Oryctolagus cuniculus: one gene and its partners. Each later gene encodes a partner of the first gene's protein in a complex. Links are inferred from orthologs where the notes say so. Each region holds a gene or a part of one and is shown on either strand. Other genes may lie near its edges.

Region 1 (3,560 bases):
TGCAGGGGCGAGCTCCCTGCCCAGGGCTGGCCCTGTGGGGCTGGCGTGCCAGGCGCGGCCGGAACAGCACGTCTTTTTCTCTCCCTCCTCCGGCAGGTGTTCAGGTACAGCACCGCTCTGGAGAAACACAAGCTGTTCATCTCGGGCCTGCCTTTCTCCTGCACGAAAGAGGAGCTGGAGGACATCTGCAAGGCTCACGGCACCGTGAAGGACCTCCGGCTGGTCACCAACCGGGCCGGCAAGCCCAAGGTCAGCGGGGGGCGCACGTTCTGGCGTGGGTTCCCCGTGATGATTCAGTGGCAAGGAATGCACACTGAGTCTCCTTCCCTGTGGAGGCAGATACTTTTTTCAAGATTAATTTGTGTATTTGGAAAGCAGAGTGACAGAGTAGGGTTGGGAGAGGAGGAGAGAATGAGAAAGATTTCCATCTACTGGTTCATTCCCCAAATGGCTGGTCAGGCCGAAGTCAGGAAGTCCATCTGGGTCTCTCATGTGGGTGGCAGGGACCCAGGTGTTTGGGCCATTGCTGCCTCCCGGGCAAGGTAGCAGGAAGCAGAGTAGCCCGAGTTGAAATTGGCACTCAGGTGTAGGGTGCCGGTGTGTTCTGAGCAGTGGTTTAACTTGCTGTTCCATGACGCCCGCCCCATGCGGAGTCAGGTGAAACTGTTTGCAGCTGTGTGTATTACAGAGGAATAGGCATTTAGAAATTAAATTCATCACAGATTCCTAAGCGCCGCAGTGTGGCCCCCTGGCTAGAGGCCTCGGGGAGGGGGTCCCTCTGCTGTGGTTACCGCTGCTCTTCCTGAGGCCCTCACTGGGCCACCTCGGGGCCTCGAGTGGACCCCTTAGCACATCCTCCCCTGCGGCCCACTCCTTTCTGCTCCACCTTTCAGCAGTTACTGTTGAGACGTGATTCTGGACCCCCTCTCACTCCCTTGCCCGCGGCCCAGCCATGCAGGTAAATGAAGAGTTAGTTGAGGAGTGTGACGGGAAGGCGGGCATGGAGGAGCAGAGACCTCGGCGCTCCCCTGGGCACCAGGGCTGCTCCCCGGTGTCTGTCCCCAGCCCACCTCCTCAGTCTGTTGGCTGGACTTATGCTGGTCTGATTGTTACTTTCATTTTTCTCTTGGGGAGCAAGCTCAAGGTGATCTGAACTTGGCTCCTCTGCGCTGCAGTCACTCCCGGCAGCGGAGGACAGGAGTAGGGAGGGAAGTCAAGCTGTGGACAGGGTGGCAGCCGTGGGGAGGGGAGCCAGTTGATGAGGTGCCTGCGTTGCAGAGTGAGGAGGAAGCTGCTCCTGGGTGTGCGGCAGCTCACCTGGCTCTGATCATGTCTCTTCCAGGGCCTGGCCTACGTGGAGTACGAAAACGAATCCCAGGCGTCGCAGGCTGTGATGAAGATGGACGGCATGACCATCAGAGAGAACGTCATCAAAGTGGCGATCAGCAACCCCCCTCAGAGGAAGGCTCCAGAGAAGCCGGAGGCCAGGAAAGCGCCGGGTGGCCCCCTGGTGCCGCGGCAGATATACGGAGCGTGAGTGTTTGTGCTGGCCAGCGCCCGGCCATGAAGGGCTAGATGAGGCAACAGTTAGGTCCCTGTTGGTAAGAGGAGTTAGGACAAGAGCACATGGGCCTGCTATCCCGGCGATGACCCCGTGGTTCTGCCGGGCAAGGTGTCCAGGGCGAGTCCAGGCCAGAAGGAGGCCCAGGCAGCGGGGCCCTGCCTCGTGTTTGCCAGGTGACACTGGTCCAAGGTCAGATGTTTCACCGGCACTGATGACGTCACCCGCCCCCTGATGCCCGAGCTTGCCAGCCTGCGGCTGCGCTCCCTAGAGAGGCCGTGTCTTCTGCCCGACAGGAGCCAGGCTGCAGGGTGGTTGGAGAGGTCTCGGAGGTGACAGCCACTTCTCACCCCAGAGTGTGACTTGCTCAGAGTCAGTCCTGGCCAGTTAATGAAGAAGGCAGAGCTTCCTGCAGTGGCTTTTAAGTAACAGCCAGGTACAGGGACAGGCCGCCTCTGGTGGGTTTTCATTTTTCATCATGAACTTTGCGTGATGTGCAGGATCCTGGCTCTTCTTCACGGTACCGTGGGGGTTGCGGGTCAGTGCTTTGAAGTGTACAGTCAGTGTTTGCTTTTGCAGGCGGGGGAAGGGCAGGACCCAGCTCTCTCTGCTGCCTCGTGCCCTGCAGCGCCCTGGTGCCGGGACTCCTCAGGCTGAGAACGGCCCTGCCCCACGTCCTGCCAACGCCGCCCCTGAGGCCACAGAGGCGCCCAAGATGTCCAATGCCGATTTCGCCAAGCTGCTTCTGAGAAAGTGAGCGGACTCTGCGGGAGACGGGAAAGGCCTTCTCGCCGGCCAGTACTCCGGGGACAGAAGGGACTGGCCCAGTGCCCACCCACGGCCACGGGCTTTCCTCTGGGTCAGACAGAAGGGGAGTGTTCCCCGTGAAGCGGCGTCAGTGCTCCCTCACATTGAGGGCGACGGCAGGAACGTGAGCTCAGGGCGTGGCATCCTGAGGCACATGGGTGTCTTCCCGAGTGAGGAGCAGCTGGGTCTGGGGCAGCGTGGAGACCCGCTCGTCCCGACGCTCCCAGCCGGCCCCAGCCCTTTTTCTAAGTCACTTCTCTCACACCTGCACGGTATACGTGCCCATCACTCTTTTAATTTTTAAAAGATGGACTGGCAAATGCTAGTAACTCACCAGAACGGCCTATTTTAGGAAGGGGTGGGAGCAGGGGAGGCCACGTAGGAGAAGTCCAGTGGGTTTTTGTTCGGGGGCTGTGTGTTTTTCTATTGTGTTTGTAAATGACACCTCAGCCTGTGGTTTCGTTTCCTAAAAGCAGTATCCAGATGTTTGTTTTATACCTGTACCGGAGGCCGTGTGCCACCTGCCGCGGGCCACTTCCTCTGCCTGCCGACTGGCTTTTCTTGTCTAAACCCTGAGTTTCAGCTCTTTGGTTTTGTTGAAACACCATGTCCTCCCCGTTTAGCTTTGTTTATTAAACAGAAGTTCTCTTAAACTCTTCTTGCTGAGTGGTGCTCAGAACCCTTCCTCAGGGCGGCCTGTAGCTATAAATAGAACTTTTCTAAGTCAAATCTCGTGGTCATTTTGATTTAAATTATTTCTGCTGTGATGGATCTTCAGTTGTAAACTTCAGTTTGATGCTTGAGTTTTTAAACTCTCTCACTTTTATCAGGGACTTACGGCTTTGGAAGCAGCCTTGCCAGTTCAGTAAGGAAGCTGACGTTCTAGAGGCACCGAGCTTCTTCTTCGACAGTATTTTTATTATTTGACAGGCAGAGCGCGAGTGCCCTCCCCTCTTCTGATTCAATCCCTACAGGCCCATAGTGGCTGGGGCTGGGTTGGGGCTGGGAATGCAGTCAGTCTCTCAGGTGGGTCTGGGCGGCCAGCTGTCTGTCTGTCGAGCCATCGCCTGCCAACTCCCAGGGTCTGCACTGGCAGGAGTAGGGAGCCGGGAGCCAGGTTCTCTGCTGTAGGACTGACTTGGGCATCCTGACCGCTGGGCTGAGTGCCTGCGCCCCCAGGGAGTCTTTTTAT
Region 2 (4,108 bases), on another chromosome or scaffold:
TGGCGGCCATTGGAGGGTGAACCAACGGCAAAGGAAGACCTTTCTCTCTCTCTCTCTCACTGTCCACTCTGCCTGTCAAAAAAAAAAAAAAAAAAATTCTCATTTACTGCCGTTCACAACCTGATACTTAAAACGTAGGTACTAACAATTGCATATTTTAAGAGTCAGAAATGAGGCATCTTGCCCAGCATCAAGACGTCGGAGCCACTTCACCACGAGACAGGAAGGCCCAAGTTTGCGCCCATGGCGGGTGGTGGTGGGAGCCTCCCGCCTCGAGGGGTGCCGCTTGAAACCTTCTGCACACGGGAATTAAATATTACTAAGAATGACGATGACGAAGGCATACGGTACACGGAGACGTCAGCATCGTGCTCGGGACCTGCAAGCACTGAGTGAGTGCTGCTAACTTCACGCTACACCTTCCCGGGGCACCACTGCTCCTGTTCTCACGGGTTTGGGCTACTTATTAGGAGGGGGATGTTCAAACGAGTGGCAGTGCTCGGCACCCACCAGCAATATTAAAAAAAGCCCGCCTCAGGCCGGCCGCGGCTCACTAGGCTAATCCTCCGCCTTGCGGCGCCGGCACCCCGGGTTCTAGTCCTGGTCAGGGTGCTGGATTCTGTCCCTGTTACTCCTCTTCCAGGCCAGCTCTCTGCTGTGGCCCGGGAGTGCAGTGGAGGATGGCCCAAGTGCTTGGGCCCTGCACCCCATGGGAGACCAGAAGTACCTGGCTCCTGCCATCGGATCAGCGCGGTGCGCCGGCCATTGGAGGGTAAACCAACAGCAAAGGAAGACCTTTCTCTCTGTCTCTCTGTCTCACTATCCACTCTGCCTGTCAAAAAAAAAAAAAAAGCCCGCCTCTGCTGGCTTTACATCTCCGCGGTACGATAGCGGCTACGCTCTTCGCTTCTCACCTATTCTACAAAGCTCTGCCACCGTCCCATTTTACGTCGCCACTTCAGCCAGGAGCAAAGTTCTCGTAGGACCCACCAAGCGGCACGTGGCCGTGAGCCGCCACCATAATAGTCCCAGGAACTGCCTCGCAGCACCCCCCTCCCCCCCGCAAACAACCATCGCGAGCTCAGTTCTCGCGGGAAGAGACGCGGTTTTTAAACGTAAACGTATGACTCCGCCCTACTCGGCGCGTGGGGTGGGGGTGGGGTCACGTGACCGGCGCCTGCGCCCTCTCTTCAAGGTCTTTCCTGGCGGTACGCAAGCTGCACAGCCGGCTACGGAGCGTCGCGAGGGCCATTCCGGAAGTGGGCGCTCAGACTTCCGCTTCGTCGGCGGAAGCGTGTCACAAAGCCGGCCGTCGAATCCTAGCGGAAACTCGTCACGTCGCAGTTGCCCCCGCACGGCGGATGTGTGTCGCCGCGTAGGTGACGCTGGGAAGTGCTCGCAGCCTCTGCTGCTGCCTTCTGGTTGTAGCACTATGGAGGGAGAGAGGAAGAACAGCAACAAGCGGTGGTATTTTACTCGAGAACAGCTGGAGAACAGCCCATCCCGCCGGTGTGGCCTGGACCCCGATAAGGAACTTTCTTATCGCCAGCAGGCGGCCAATCTGCTTCAGGACATGGGTCAACGTCTTTTCGTGTATCCTTGCGGCCTAGGCCTTCGGGCCTGGGAGTCGGTGCCGGCCGGGCTCGGGGCGGGGACGGGAGGTGGGCAGGAGCCGGAGCGCTAGGTGAGCGAGCGCGCCGCGGGGCGGGTTGAAAGTCGGGGTTGGCGCCAGGGCAGCGAGGCGGAGTTCGTTTCCCGCTTGCTCACCCTTGCCGGGAATGCAGGCCCTTCCCGGCTTTGTGTTTCCACCGGTTCTCGTGGTCTGCCGGCTGCCTTTGAGCTTGTTCTTTCCCTTACGCCCTCGGGGTCTGGTGGAGGGTTCACTGTTGACGCCTGTCCCCCTTAAACTCGGCGTGTTAGCGATTCAGTACCCGAAAGCCTTGCACAGGTGGCTTAGAATTCGTGTCCAAGCAGTGGTTCCGAATCTGTGACTCCCGCGTGCTGATTTAACTTGGTCAGAGGCTTCCTCCGTCCTGGCCCGCCTCGGTTCCGTGTCCACCACGGTGCTTGGGGGCCAGACGTCGAAGGGGGCGCTGTTAGAAGTTCTGAGGAAGGAAAAGATGGCAGATTAGGTGTGTAGGGGATGCGTAGAGCTGTGGATCTCATGTTTCCCACCGTTTGCGAGATTCTGGGTGCTTAACGCTACGCCGAGTTTGAGTGTGTATTCGTTCCTTTCGTAATTCAAAATTGAGCGAATTCCGTGCTTTGTTTTTCCGCCCGAATGTATTTGCTTGTCGGAAGACGTTTGTTTTGCGTCGGAGGGAAGAATGTCGTTTTCAAGCTGCTTCTGTCGTGGGCTGAAAACTTTTTTCTGAAGTGCAGCTTCCATGTAATTGGTCGTGTTTGTGGGGGTGCGCCCAGTCTGAAATGCAGGGGTTGCCCTCTGTTGCCAGCCTGTTTTCCGTATCAAATTTGTTTCCTAAGCATCTGATCTGTACAGAGCTAAATCATGTTGTCTGAGATCCGGTTTTCAGTGTATCCTTGAAACTTTTTATATGTGTGTTATTCACCTTGTTGCTAAGTGACATTTCTGTATCTCATGTTGTTTGGGACGGCCTTAAGATGTAAGACATGAAAACAGTTTTATTTTCAGCGAATGAATATCAGGCCTTTTGAAAAATGGTAGTCCCAGGGGTTGCTCTGTGACCAGAGAGAGGTGGAACTGTAAACTTAATTGCTGGGGTGTAGAAGCTGAGGGAGATAGTGGTGACATATTCCCCAGGGCTATGGCTGCATCAGGGAGGACCTTGTAAATGATGATTAAAGAGATACCCCGAGCTAATGCATCATCTTTGCAGGGTGTTCAGAAGGTGAGTGAAAGCATTTAAGAGCTCATTACATAGTTTTGTTTATAAGCCATATTGAGCCACACAGCCCGAGAAACTTAGTAATTCGGTGAATTTGTAGTGAGTACTTGTGTAAGTAAATGTGGAAGGCATTGTGGTCAGTGCCAGTTGGCAGTTAATAATTTGGCGGAGGAGAATGGGCTGCTTTCTGATTTGGAGAGGTAAGTAGGTTTTCCTTTAAGGGCATCTATCATGCTTGGTCTTCTGGTCTTTCTGGAAGGGGCCAGATGTTATGTTTTCTGGAAGTATCCTGCTTGTTTTTGCCTTCACTGGAGCACTTCAGCTCGCAACTGACCATCAACACCGCTATAGTATATGTGCATCGATTCTACATGATCCAATCCTTCACTCAGTTTCATCGAAATGTGAGTATGACTTTTCTTATGTGGTGTTCGCTTCGTGAGTCTTCTACATACCTGTTTCTTCAGGTTGGTCTTTGCCACTGAGCTGGGATTTGAACTTGAGAACTCTGCTGCTCACTTTCATTCTGTGTCACACTGTTGCTATGAATACAGCTTTCCCATTTTCCTATGAAATGTAGTTTTCTGCACCCTTACAGTAGGTAGGTTCTCTAGTAATGAAATAGATTATCAAACGTGTAAAGATGTTTTTGTGGGGGATGGCATTAAAGTGGAAATCATATTTCAGTAGAGCGTTCAAAGTGGCAAAATAATGTCACAGGAAAGCAAATGAATATAAGTAATTTAGATTTTCACAAGCCTTTTACAAAACTCCAATCAATGCCCAGAGGATCTGGAATGTACAAAATGTGGTAATGCCTCGAGAAATGAATTTTAAGAACAGAACAAAGAAGATGTTAGCAGTAAAAGACCTTTTTTTCCCTCCTGGACAGATTGTAAATTATGCTACTTTCAGTTTTGCTAACTGAAATGGTCCTATTTAAGATTATTATAAGTAGCTTGGAAGTGAATGCATAGTGGTAGTCCACTAAGGCTGTATTTGTTTTGAAAACATTCCAAGGTAATGGTGATAAGCTTGAGGAACACTTTATATGGTTTGCTCATCAGAGATTTCATTATTTTGTAAAAAGAAAAAGGTTATGCTTTTGAATAAATTTGTTTTAGGCTTTACTTTGGGATGATGGTTTTGAGCTTTTTTTTTTTAAGCTCTTGGAAGAGAGTTTGTGAAGCTAGATATAGCTCCTGTAAAGTAAGAAATGGGCAGAATCCAGGGGCTGATGT
Region 3 (4,132 bases), on another chromosome or scaffold:
TAATAAAGGTAGTGTTAAAATACATGTAAAAATAGTAGTATGTGGAAACAAGCAACCATCATACCAACATACACTTACATTTCTGAACGGTTCAGTACTTCTTAACAACATAATCACACCCATCTTTTCTGCATGGCCTCCAAATGAGTTGGAGCAGACATTAAAAACATGGGAACGAGAGAGGTTATGTGGGCATTCCTATCCATCTTTTAGGCTTTTCCTATCATTGTTATTTTTAAAGTCAAATCTCCGGACGTCTTCACGCTTGGAAGTACTTAAGTAGTTTTGGCATAATTCAATTAAACAACTATTTCGGTGGTTTTTTTTTTTTTTTTTTTTTTTTTTTTTTTTTTTTTTTTGCATCTTAGTCATTACTGTGCCAGCCACTAGGCGTAAAGAGGTTTTAAGATATTAGCCCAGTTCCAGCAGTCTTGTGAAGTTTACATTTTAGTTCAGGCTTTCACAAGGAGAGGTAGTGAAGGTGCTAGCATATGGGCTTTGGAACCTGTGTGACCTTGGCATTGGATTTTTGAGACTCGACTTCCCCATTTGTAACCTAATTACTGGCTTCCAATGAAGCTGTTGTTACCTGGCTTCACCTCCGGTGTAAGCACCATCGGAAAGTGAGGCTAAGCGAATGCTGCTCTTCTCCCCGCTTAGTCCCTGGCATTATTCAAAGGCCAGTTCGCCCCTCATTCACCAAGGAGCCCTGGCTTGTTTTTCTCTGCAGCTTAGTTGCCTGGGTGTGCCTGGGGAGGCGTCACAAAGAGCCTATTACAGGTCTCCACCCACAGCACGAGTGCAAGTGCTGCCAGGAACCTAAGGTCTTTGGGGCGAGGCGTTTGGTTTCGGATTGTTCTCGGGGCCACTATCCACTGAGCTTGGGTTCTGCGACTCGCAAGGACAAGCGCAGAATCACGGAGCTGCTCAGTTTTCTGCCATGTCTTAGCCATCCTCACGCCCTCCTGTCCACCCCACCCTCCGGAGCGAGTGAATGCGCAAATAAGGGTTTTCAGCCCTCTGTGGGAAAAGGGGAGGGGTAGGCAAACTCGAGGATGGACTGGGCAGTGGCAGGGCTCCAGCGAGAGAAGAGAGAGCACATGCCCTCAGCGAGGGGAGTCAAAACCCGGCTGTCCCGGGCCGGAGGAAGCTGAGGCAAGGCGCTGAACGGGCGGGGACCGAAGGCGGGCTGCAGGCCGCGGCCAGCACCCACTCCGCCCCCAGGCCTCCTCTCGTCCGGAGGCCACCCCCCCTCCGCGTCTCGTTTGGTTTCGACCTGACGAATGGGAGGGGCTGTGGACGCCATTCCCACAATGCTCTGGGGCGTGCCGCCGCCGTCGCTGCCGCCTCCGCTGCCGCTAGTGGAAGAAGATGGCGGAAGGCGGAGCGGCGGATTTGGACACCCAGCGGTCTGACATCGCGACGTTGCTCAAAACCTCGCTCCGGAAAGGGGACACCTGGTGAGGGGGAAGGGGTTGAGGTGGCCGCGGATGCGCGCGGGTGGTGGAGAACAGGGCGGGAACCGCAGGCTAGTGTCTTTCGCGAGTGACAGGTGCGGGCAGGTCCGGCTGCGGCCGCCCTGGGCAGCAGGATTTTGGGGCAAAGGTTGGACTGGACCTGAGGGCCGGCGTTCCAGACTTGCTTAGGCACGCTGAGAGGTATGCCGGGGACGCCGGCGGCGGCTCGTGGGGGTCTCTGGGTCCTTGTTGCTCCCGTAGTGCCGCTCCCACCTCAGGCCTGCCCGAGTGATAGGTTTCAGTCGTTCGGCGCGAGTCTTCCTCGGGGTTGACAGGTCTGGGTCCCGCGGCTTGTCACGGTCTCCCCCACGCTACTTCCCCAGTCACTTCTTTCCCCGGCATTGTCGGCATCCAAGTTCCCCATTCTTCCGATTCTTGCAGTCTTCCGGGAGACAGGCTGCAGGATGTTTGCGGTCGGTACTTACACAGGTGGCATGTGCTACGGCTCCACTCGAGAAAAAGAAACCCTAGTTTTCCAGTTCCTTGTCAGAAAATTAAAAAATAAAAAAAAAAAAGGGAGGGAGAAGGTAGGGAGCCTTAGGCTTGAGAGAGGGACCACGTGGTCTTGTGCTTGAGCGGAGGCTTGATAGAAACCGGCAGCGTTTCGGTTAGAATTGCAGCCCTTCCCTCCTGTTTGAAGGATAACGTAGGCCTGCAGAAAGTAGATAAGTCCACTTGAGCCTTCAGGAACTCGCTCGTAGTCAAACTTGTAAAATACCAAAGGATATGGTACACTTAAAATACCGGAGGAAGTTATGTGTAGATTTTCATGCTTTCGGCCATAGCAAGTGGCATCCAGAATAACTTAAGGATATGGTTTGGGTAACAGAAAGAGAAAGCGCTGTGTTTTGGAGGAAGAGTAGCGTGCCACTTGATTAAATTGTTTTTCCTTCCCACCGTCACCCTAATGGTGGTATGTAATTGGCGGAGTGTTTTCTTGAATGATGGCTTCCTGGAGGGGGGATAGGATTTAGAGACCTCAGTTATTTTCACGGTTTCACCACTTGCTGTGTGACTTTGAAGCAAGTTCATTTAAACCATTTTGCATCTCCATATCTTCATCTGTAAAATGGACAATAATTTTTATTATAGGGGCTTTATGTTGATTCAGTTAAATATCCCAAAAGGTTTGATATTTATGAGCTGTTACATTTTAGTTCTTTATCTCTGCCATATACTCCTAACAAAATGCTGTCATATTGTAATTGTTTTCAAATAAGTTAACAAGTGACATACTTAGGAACTGAATTTAGGTACTTTGATATAAGTCTTAGTACTTTTTCCCTAGTTTGGAAGGATACATATACTGTTGTATGAAAAACCTCTAATAGTGTAAATATATACTTGTTGCATTATGCAAAATAGTTTTTGCATTTTCAATGTTACTGTAAATCATTTAAAAGATATATTGTAAAGAATACATAGAGGAAGTCTATAAATTTGTCATTTCCTTTCATTTTAAAGAAAAGGAAACTGAGAAAGAGATACTTAGCCAATGGCAGACTTGTGTTTTCCTCTTGTTAATTTTTCTATTTTACTTAAAGGGGGAAAAATTGCAGGTGCAGGATAGTATTGGGGAATTGTAGAAGCCAGTGTGGTTTATATGTGAGGCAGTTTACTTGCAAATTAGCAGGTGAAATCTGTTAAAAAGGGAGCCTTGTAGAGCAAAAGTCTGATTCAGAGTTTTAAGGAGAGTAATTTGGTACAGATTTGATAGTGAACTCACGAATAAAGTACTGGTAGTGATATTGAATAATTACTAGGTTGTTTGGTGTATATTTAATTTTTGAGTTTGTCTTTTATGGGTACTTTAGCAAAACCTGCCCTATTTTAGAGCTGAAACCAGCCATATGCAAATGGAACATTGTCTTGGCACGTATATATAACCATTTCAGAAACACTGATTGGGCTATTGAGAGAAAAAATAGTTTATTCTTAAGCTTTAATAGAGATGCCTGGAGTTATAGTCAAATACATTAAAACGAGTGAATTTTATTCGTTAGCTTTTTAGCGTAGTCTCATAGTACTCTGGTAACTAAATACCTTGGCAGGTATTAAGATTTATTTGATTTTGGGTGCTTACTAGAGTTTCTGTTAATTTATAAGCAGTGAGTGATTTTTATTAGCAGATGAAAATAAGTTACAGAAATCTGAGATGACGAGGAACATACTTTGGTACTAGATTTTATAGTGAGAAGTAATTCAAAGTAGCTGCAAGAAAGTTATTCCTCTTAAAAAGGTGAGATAGAAAAGTAACACTTATCAGGGTAAGAAGTAATAAAGCACTAGTCTAATAATGTTATTTGTTGATGTATGTTTCACTTCCAACAAGAGATTCAAAAAATTAAGGACAGGATTAAGGTAGAATTTAGGAACTATAGGAAAAAGATAAAGAATTGTCTGGCTAAGGATAAATGAAAGACAGCTTGGAGATACATAGTGATTTCTCATGATGAGACAAAAAGAATTTGTTTAAAGTACATTACATGTAAGTATTTTGGCAGTCTATTAAAAATGGTAGATGAATGATTTACAAAGAAAGTTTTGAGTTGTGGAATTCTGTCTTTGGAGATTTCTTTTAAAATAGACCTATTATGAGCCAATAAACAAGTAAC
Region 4 (3,560 bases), on another chromosome or scaffold:
GCCTCCAATTATAGAAGAAATATGATTTCCTTCAAATGTTCAGAAAACATGGCTAAGGACAGAGAGCAGTACAAGTCTGCTCTGTGTTACGGCCAGTGACAGACATTTGGAATTTTGCACTTGTTCCTGTAAATACTTCTTTTGTTTCTGAAAAATGCATGAAAATCATTTAAAAATCGTTGGTGGGAGAGGGACAACAGTGAGTTATGTGCTGTTTTCCTTTTTCAGATCCTGAGAGTCAGACCTTGAAAGAACACTTAATTGATGAATTGGACTACGTATTGGTTCCAACTGAGGCCTGGAATAAATTACTAAACTGGTATGGCTGTGTAGAAGGTCAGCAGCCCATTGTGCGAAAAGTGAGTCCATGGGTCGTCACACGTGCTGCGTGGCGTCTGCCGCTGCTCCTGGGGGGACACTGGCTGCTCCTGGTTCCCTAGGAAGACGCGTGCACCAAAGGGGCTGGGAGAAGGGGGTGGCGTCTTGTATTTGTTTCTCTTCTGGGAATTATTGTGAATGATGGTGAGAGAGGCTGCTCGCCCAGGGTAGGACTGCGAATGGGCTCAGGACATCAGAGCTGCCCAGTGCTGTGAGTGCGCCTTCTGGAGGGCTTCCTGAGGAGGTGTTCACTGGGGACACGGGGACATACAGTGCACTGCTCGTTTCCCCGCTGTTAGGAGTCTTTGGCCGCACTGTTGAATAATTAAAAATGCAGGCATTTACTGCCCAGAGAGGAATAACCTGAGGGAAAGGCGGCTTGGGACAGAACCTGGGTTGTTAGTGCCTGTGATAGATGGGACTCGGGAGGACACCACCACCCTGTCTCCCACAGCGCTTGTGCTGCTTACACCAGAGAGAAATCACAGGAGCCCACGTGCCTGCTGATATTTAGGCTCTGGATACATTTTCCGGTTTTTAATTTTTTTAAATAAAACTTTAAAGAAATTATTTGAGAGGCAGAGAGAAAAGAGCAAGAGAGAGCGCACACTTCCATCTATTGGTTCACTCCCCAAATCCCTGCAGTAGCCACAGGCCAGGGGCTGAAGCTGGGAGCCAGGAACTCAGTCCAGGTTTCCCGTGCGTGTGGCAGGAACCTCATCACTTGAGCCATAACCAGTACCTTCCAGGGTCCATAAAACAGAAAATTGGATTCAGGAACAGAGCAGGGACTCCAACTCGAGCTCTCTGAGGCGGGGACAGGTGCCCCACTGGCAGCTTGACGCTGGGGCTGAATACCTGTCCTGTTTCCCATTCTTAACAGAGGAGGAAAAAGCTACAATTCTGAGACCATGCTTCTGATGTCACAGTTCAGGACCAGAACTGCGTTTCTTTCCAGCTTAAAACCTGGAAGCCTGGGAGCGAGGAGGAGTCAGAAATGCCAGGCACTAGCAGAAACCCCCTGCTTCCCTCAGTGCTGCCTTGCGAGCGCTCTGCCTAGTGCTGCACCTGTGTTCCCTGAGCCTCCTGCAAGGAGGGTCCATTGATCCTCGCTCAGAGATGAGTGATGACTTCCCTTTTGTGCAGTGTCTGGGCTTACGGGCAGGGTTATTCTTTGTCATTATTTCTGAATTTGTTAATTAACTTTTGAATTTTGTGTCATGACCGTCTCGTGGCTGTACCAGTGCCATGTTGTAGATATGCAAAGTAATTCTCTATAGTAAGAATGTAAAATACATGCCCATGTATTTTGAGGGGAAAGAGTAGAGTTTACTTTTGCCAACACTTTTTTTTTTTAAAGATTTATTTTATTTATTTGAAGACGGAGTTAAAGAAAGAGGTAGAGACAGAGAGAGAGGTCTTCCATTTGCTGGTTCACTCCCCAGATGGCTGCAAAGGCTGGAGCTGCGTTGATCCGAAGGCAGGAGCCAGGTGCTTCCTCCAGGTCTCCCACACGGGTGCAGGGGCCCAAGGACTTGGGCCATCTTCTACTGCTTTCCCAGGCCATAGCAGGGAGCTGGATTGGAAGTAGAGCAGCCAGATCTCGAACCGGCACCCATATCGGATGCCGGTGCTCCAGGCCAGGGTGTTAACCCACTGTGCCACAGCGCTGGCCCCTTGCAAGTCTTAAGTAAGACCTTTCTGGGGCTGATGTTGTGGCGTAGCAGGTAAAGCTGCCACCCACAACACTGGTAATCCCATATGGGTGTCAGTTCCAGTCCTGGTGCTTTGCTTCTGACCCATTTCCCTGCCTTTCTCCATGGGAAAAGCAGCTGAAGATGACCCAAGTGCTTGGGCCCATGCCACCCACGTGGGAGACCCTGATGAAGCTCCTGGCCCCTGGCTTGGGCCTGGCTCATTCCTAGCCATTGAGGCCACTTGGGGTGTGAACCAGTGGATGGAAAACCGCTCTTGTCTTTCCCTCTCTTTCTCTGTAACTCTTTCAAATAAATAAATAAATACAAACAAACAAAAACACAGAAAAGTAAAAAAAAAAACAAGACTTCTCTGTTCAAAGAAGACTTCTTGAGACCTGCCTGGGAGCCCTGGTATCGCGTTAAATCCAGTGAGGAAAGGGTTGTCTCTGGTTCCGTCGAGGTGCCTTTCACTGGTGCTGAAAGTATGGAAGAAAGGTTTTTAATTTATTTGAGAGACATACTTATATATAAAGAGCTCCCACCCAGTGGCCAGAGCTGGTGTAGGGCCAAAGCTGGGAGCCGAGAATGCAATCCAGGTCTCCCACGTCGGTGGCAGGAACCCAATTACTTGAGCTATTGCTGCTCTCTCCCAGGGTCTGCGTTAGCAGGAAGCTGGGGTCAGGAACCAGAACTGAGACTTGCTTGAACCACTATGTTACATGCTACTACCTGGAACGAGATTTTTAGACTCCTGGGGTAGGTGCTGAAGGCTTTAAAACTTTGTACTTCTGGGGGAGATGTTTAGCTTATCAGTTAATGTGCTGATCAAGGTGCCCGTCCTGTCCCCCAACATGGGGGACCAAGCTCCAGGATTCAGTCTTAGTACCAGCCAGGTGACTGTGGGTATTTGGAGAGTGAACCAGTGGGTGGGAGCTCTCTATCTGTTCCCCTTTCCTCTCAGTTGTTTTTTCTGGTCTCTCAAATTTAAAACTAAACAAACAAAAACTACTTCTAGTCTGCTGAGCATTGAAGGAAAGTGATTTCATGAAGTACCTGCTTTTTGCTGTTGATGAAACACGCTGCTTCCTGGACTGCCCTTGCATCCAGCCCCTGCTCCCTCCCCTGCCTGTTCCAGGTTGTGGAGCATGGCCTGTTTGTCAAGCACTGCAAAGTGGAGGTGTATTTGCTGGAACTGAAGCTTTGTGAGAACAGTGACCCCACGAATGTGCTGAGTTGCCATTTCAGCAAGGCAGACACCATTGGTGAGCAGCAGAGCGGGGTCCTGGGGTGTGGGGAGAGACTGCAGGACATTGTGGCGGGTGGAAGGGACGTTGGGGTGCCCTCTTTAGACTTCTTGGGCTGCGGCTGCCAGTCCTGACCTAGGAGCCTGTTCCTCAAGCTTGGGAATCAGGTTCTGAAGGGCAGCAGGTATAATCTTTGCCCATTTGCCATATGATGATAAAGATTAAGCAATGAAGAGTCAGA

Evidence for each region.
Region 2: SART3 (region 1) and CCNT1 share a complex: the UniProt entries of both Homo sapiens proteins name them as parts of the 7SK snRNP complex. The link is inferred for Oryctolagus cuniculus from reciprocal best matches to the Homo sapiens genes SART3 and CCNT1.
Region 3: the proteins of SART3 (region 1) and USP15 are in contact, whole or in part, in a crystal structure (PDB 5JJW), measured with the Homo sapiens proteins. The link is inferred for Oryctolagus cuniculus from reciprocal best matches to the Homo sapiens genes SART3 and USP15. Residues at the interface, in NP_055521.1 of Homo sapiens: Ser438, Ser439, Lys440, Glu443, Gln490, Arg493, Glu494, Trp496, Asp497, Met500, Thr501, Ala505, Trp511, Tyr514, Arg533, Cys537; in NP_001239007.1 of Homo sapiens: Ser23, Leu24, Asp48, Trp50, Gly121, Met122, Phe123, Val124, Lys125, His126, Lys128.
Region 4: the proteins of SART3 (region 1) and USP4 are in contact, whole or in part, in a crystal structure (PDB 5CTR), measured with the Homo sapiens proteins. The link is inferred for Oryctolagus cuniculus from reciprocal best matches to the Homo sapiens genes SART3 and USP4. Residues at the interface, in NP_055521.1 of Homo sapiens: Asp437, Ser438, Ser439, Lys440, Gln490, Arg493, Glu494, Trp496, Asp497, Met500, Thr501, Ala505, Trp511, Tyr514, Lys529, Arg533, Cys537; in NP_003354.2 of Homo sapiens: Met24, Thr27, Leu28, Ser53, Trp54, Glu123, Gly125, Leu126, Phe127, Val128, Lys129, His130, Cys131, Lys132.

What each region holds. Positions count from the first base shown.
Region 1 is NC_091452.1:17,726,391-17,729,950, reverse strand, and holds the end of SART3 (squamous cell carcinoma antigen recognized by T-cells 3), read left to right. Parts: intron 1-96; coding exon 97-249; intron 250-1,342; coding exon 1,343-1,533; intron 1,534-2,140; coding exon 2,141-2,318; 3' UTR 2,319-3,021; downstream 3,022-3,560. UniProt on the Homo sapiens protein: U6 snRNP-binding protein that functions as a recycling factor of the splicing machinery. Promotes the initial reassembly of U4 and U6 snRNPs following their ejection from the spliceosome during its maturation.
Region 2 is NC_091442.1:52,212,585-52,216,692, reverse strand, and holds the start of CCNT1 (cyclin-T1), read left to right. Parts: upstream 1-1,295; 5' UTR 1,296-1,432; coding exon 1,433-1,593; intron 1,594-3,189; coding exon 3,190-3,271; intron 3,272-4,108. UniProt on the Homo sapiens protein: Regulatory subunit of the cyclin-dependent kinase pair (CDK9/cyclin-T1) complex, also called positive transcription elongation factor B (P-TEFb), which facilitates the transition from abortive to productive elongation by phosphorylating the CTD (C-terminal domain) of the large subunit of RNA polymerase II (RNA Pol II).
Region 3 is NC_091442.1:64,569,281-64,573,412, forward strand, and holds the start of USP15 (ubiquitin carboxyl-terminal hydrolase 15), read left to right. Parts: upstream 1-1,321; 5' UTR 1,322-1,371; coding exon 1,372-1,460; intron 1,461-4,132. UniProt on the Homo sapiens protein: Hydrolase that removes conjugated ubiquitin from target proteins and regulates various pathways such as the TGF-beta receptor signaling, NF-kappa-B and RNF41/NRDP1-PRKN pathways.
Region 4 is NC_091441.1:99,906,004-99,909,563, forward strand, and holds part of USP4 (ubiquitin carboxyl-terminal hydrolase 4), read left to right. Parts: intron 1-228; coding exon 229-359; intron 360-3,210; coding exon 3,211-3,337; intron 3,338-3,560.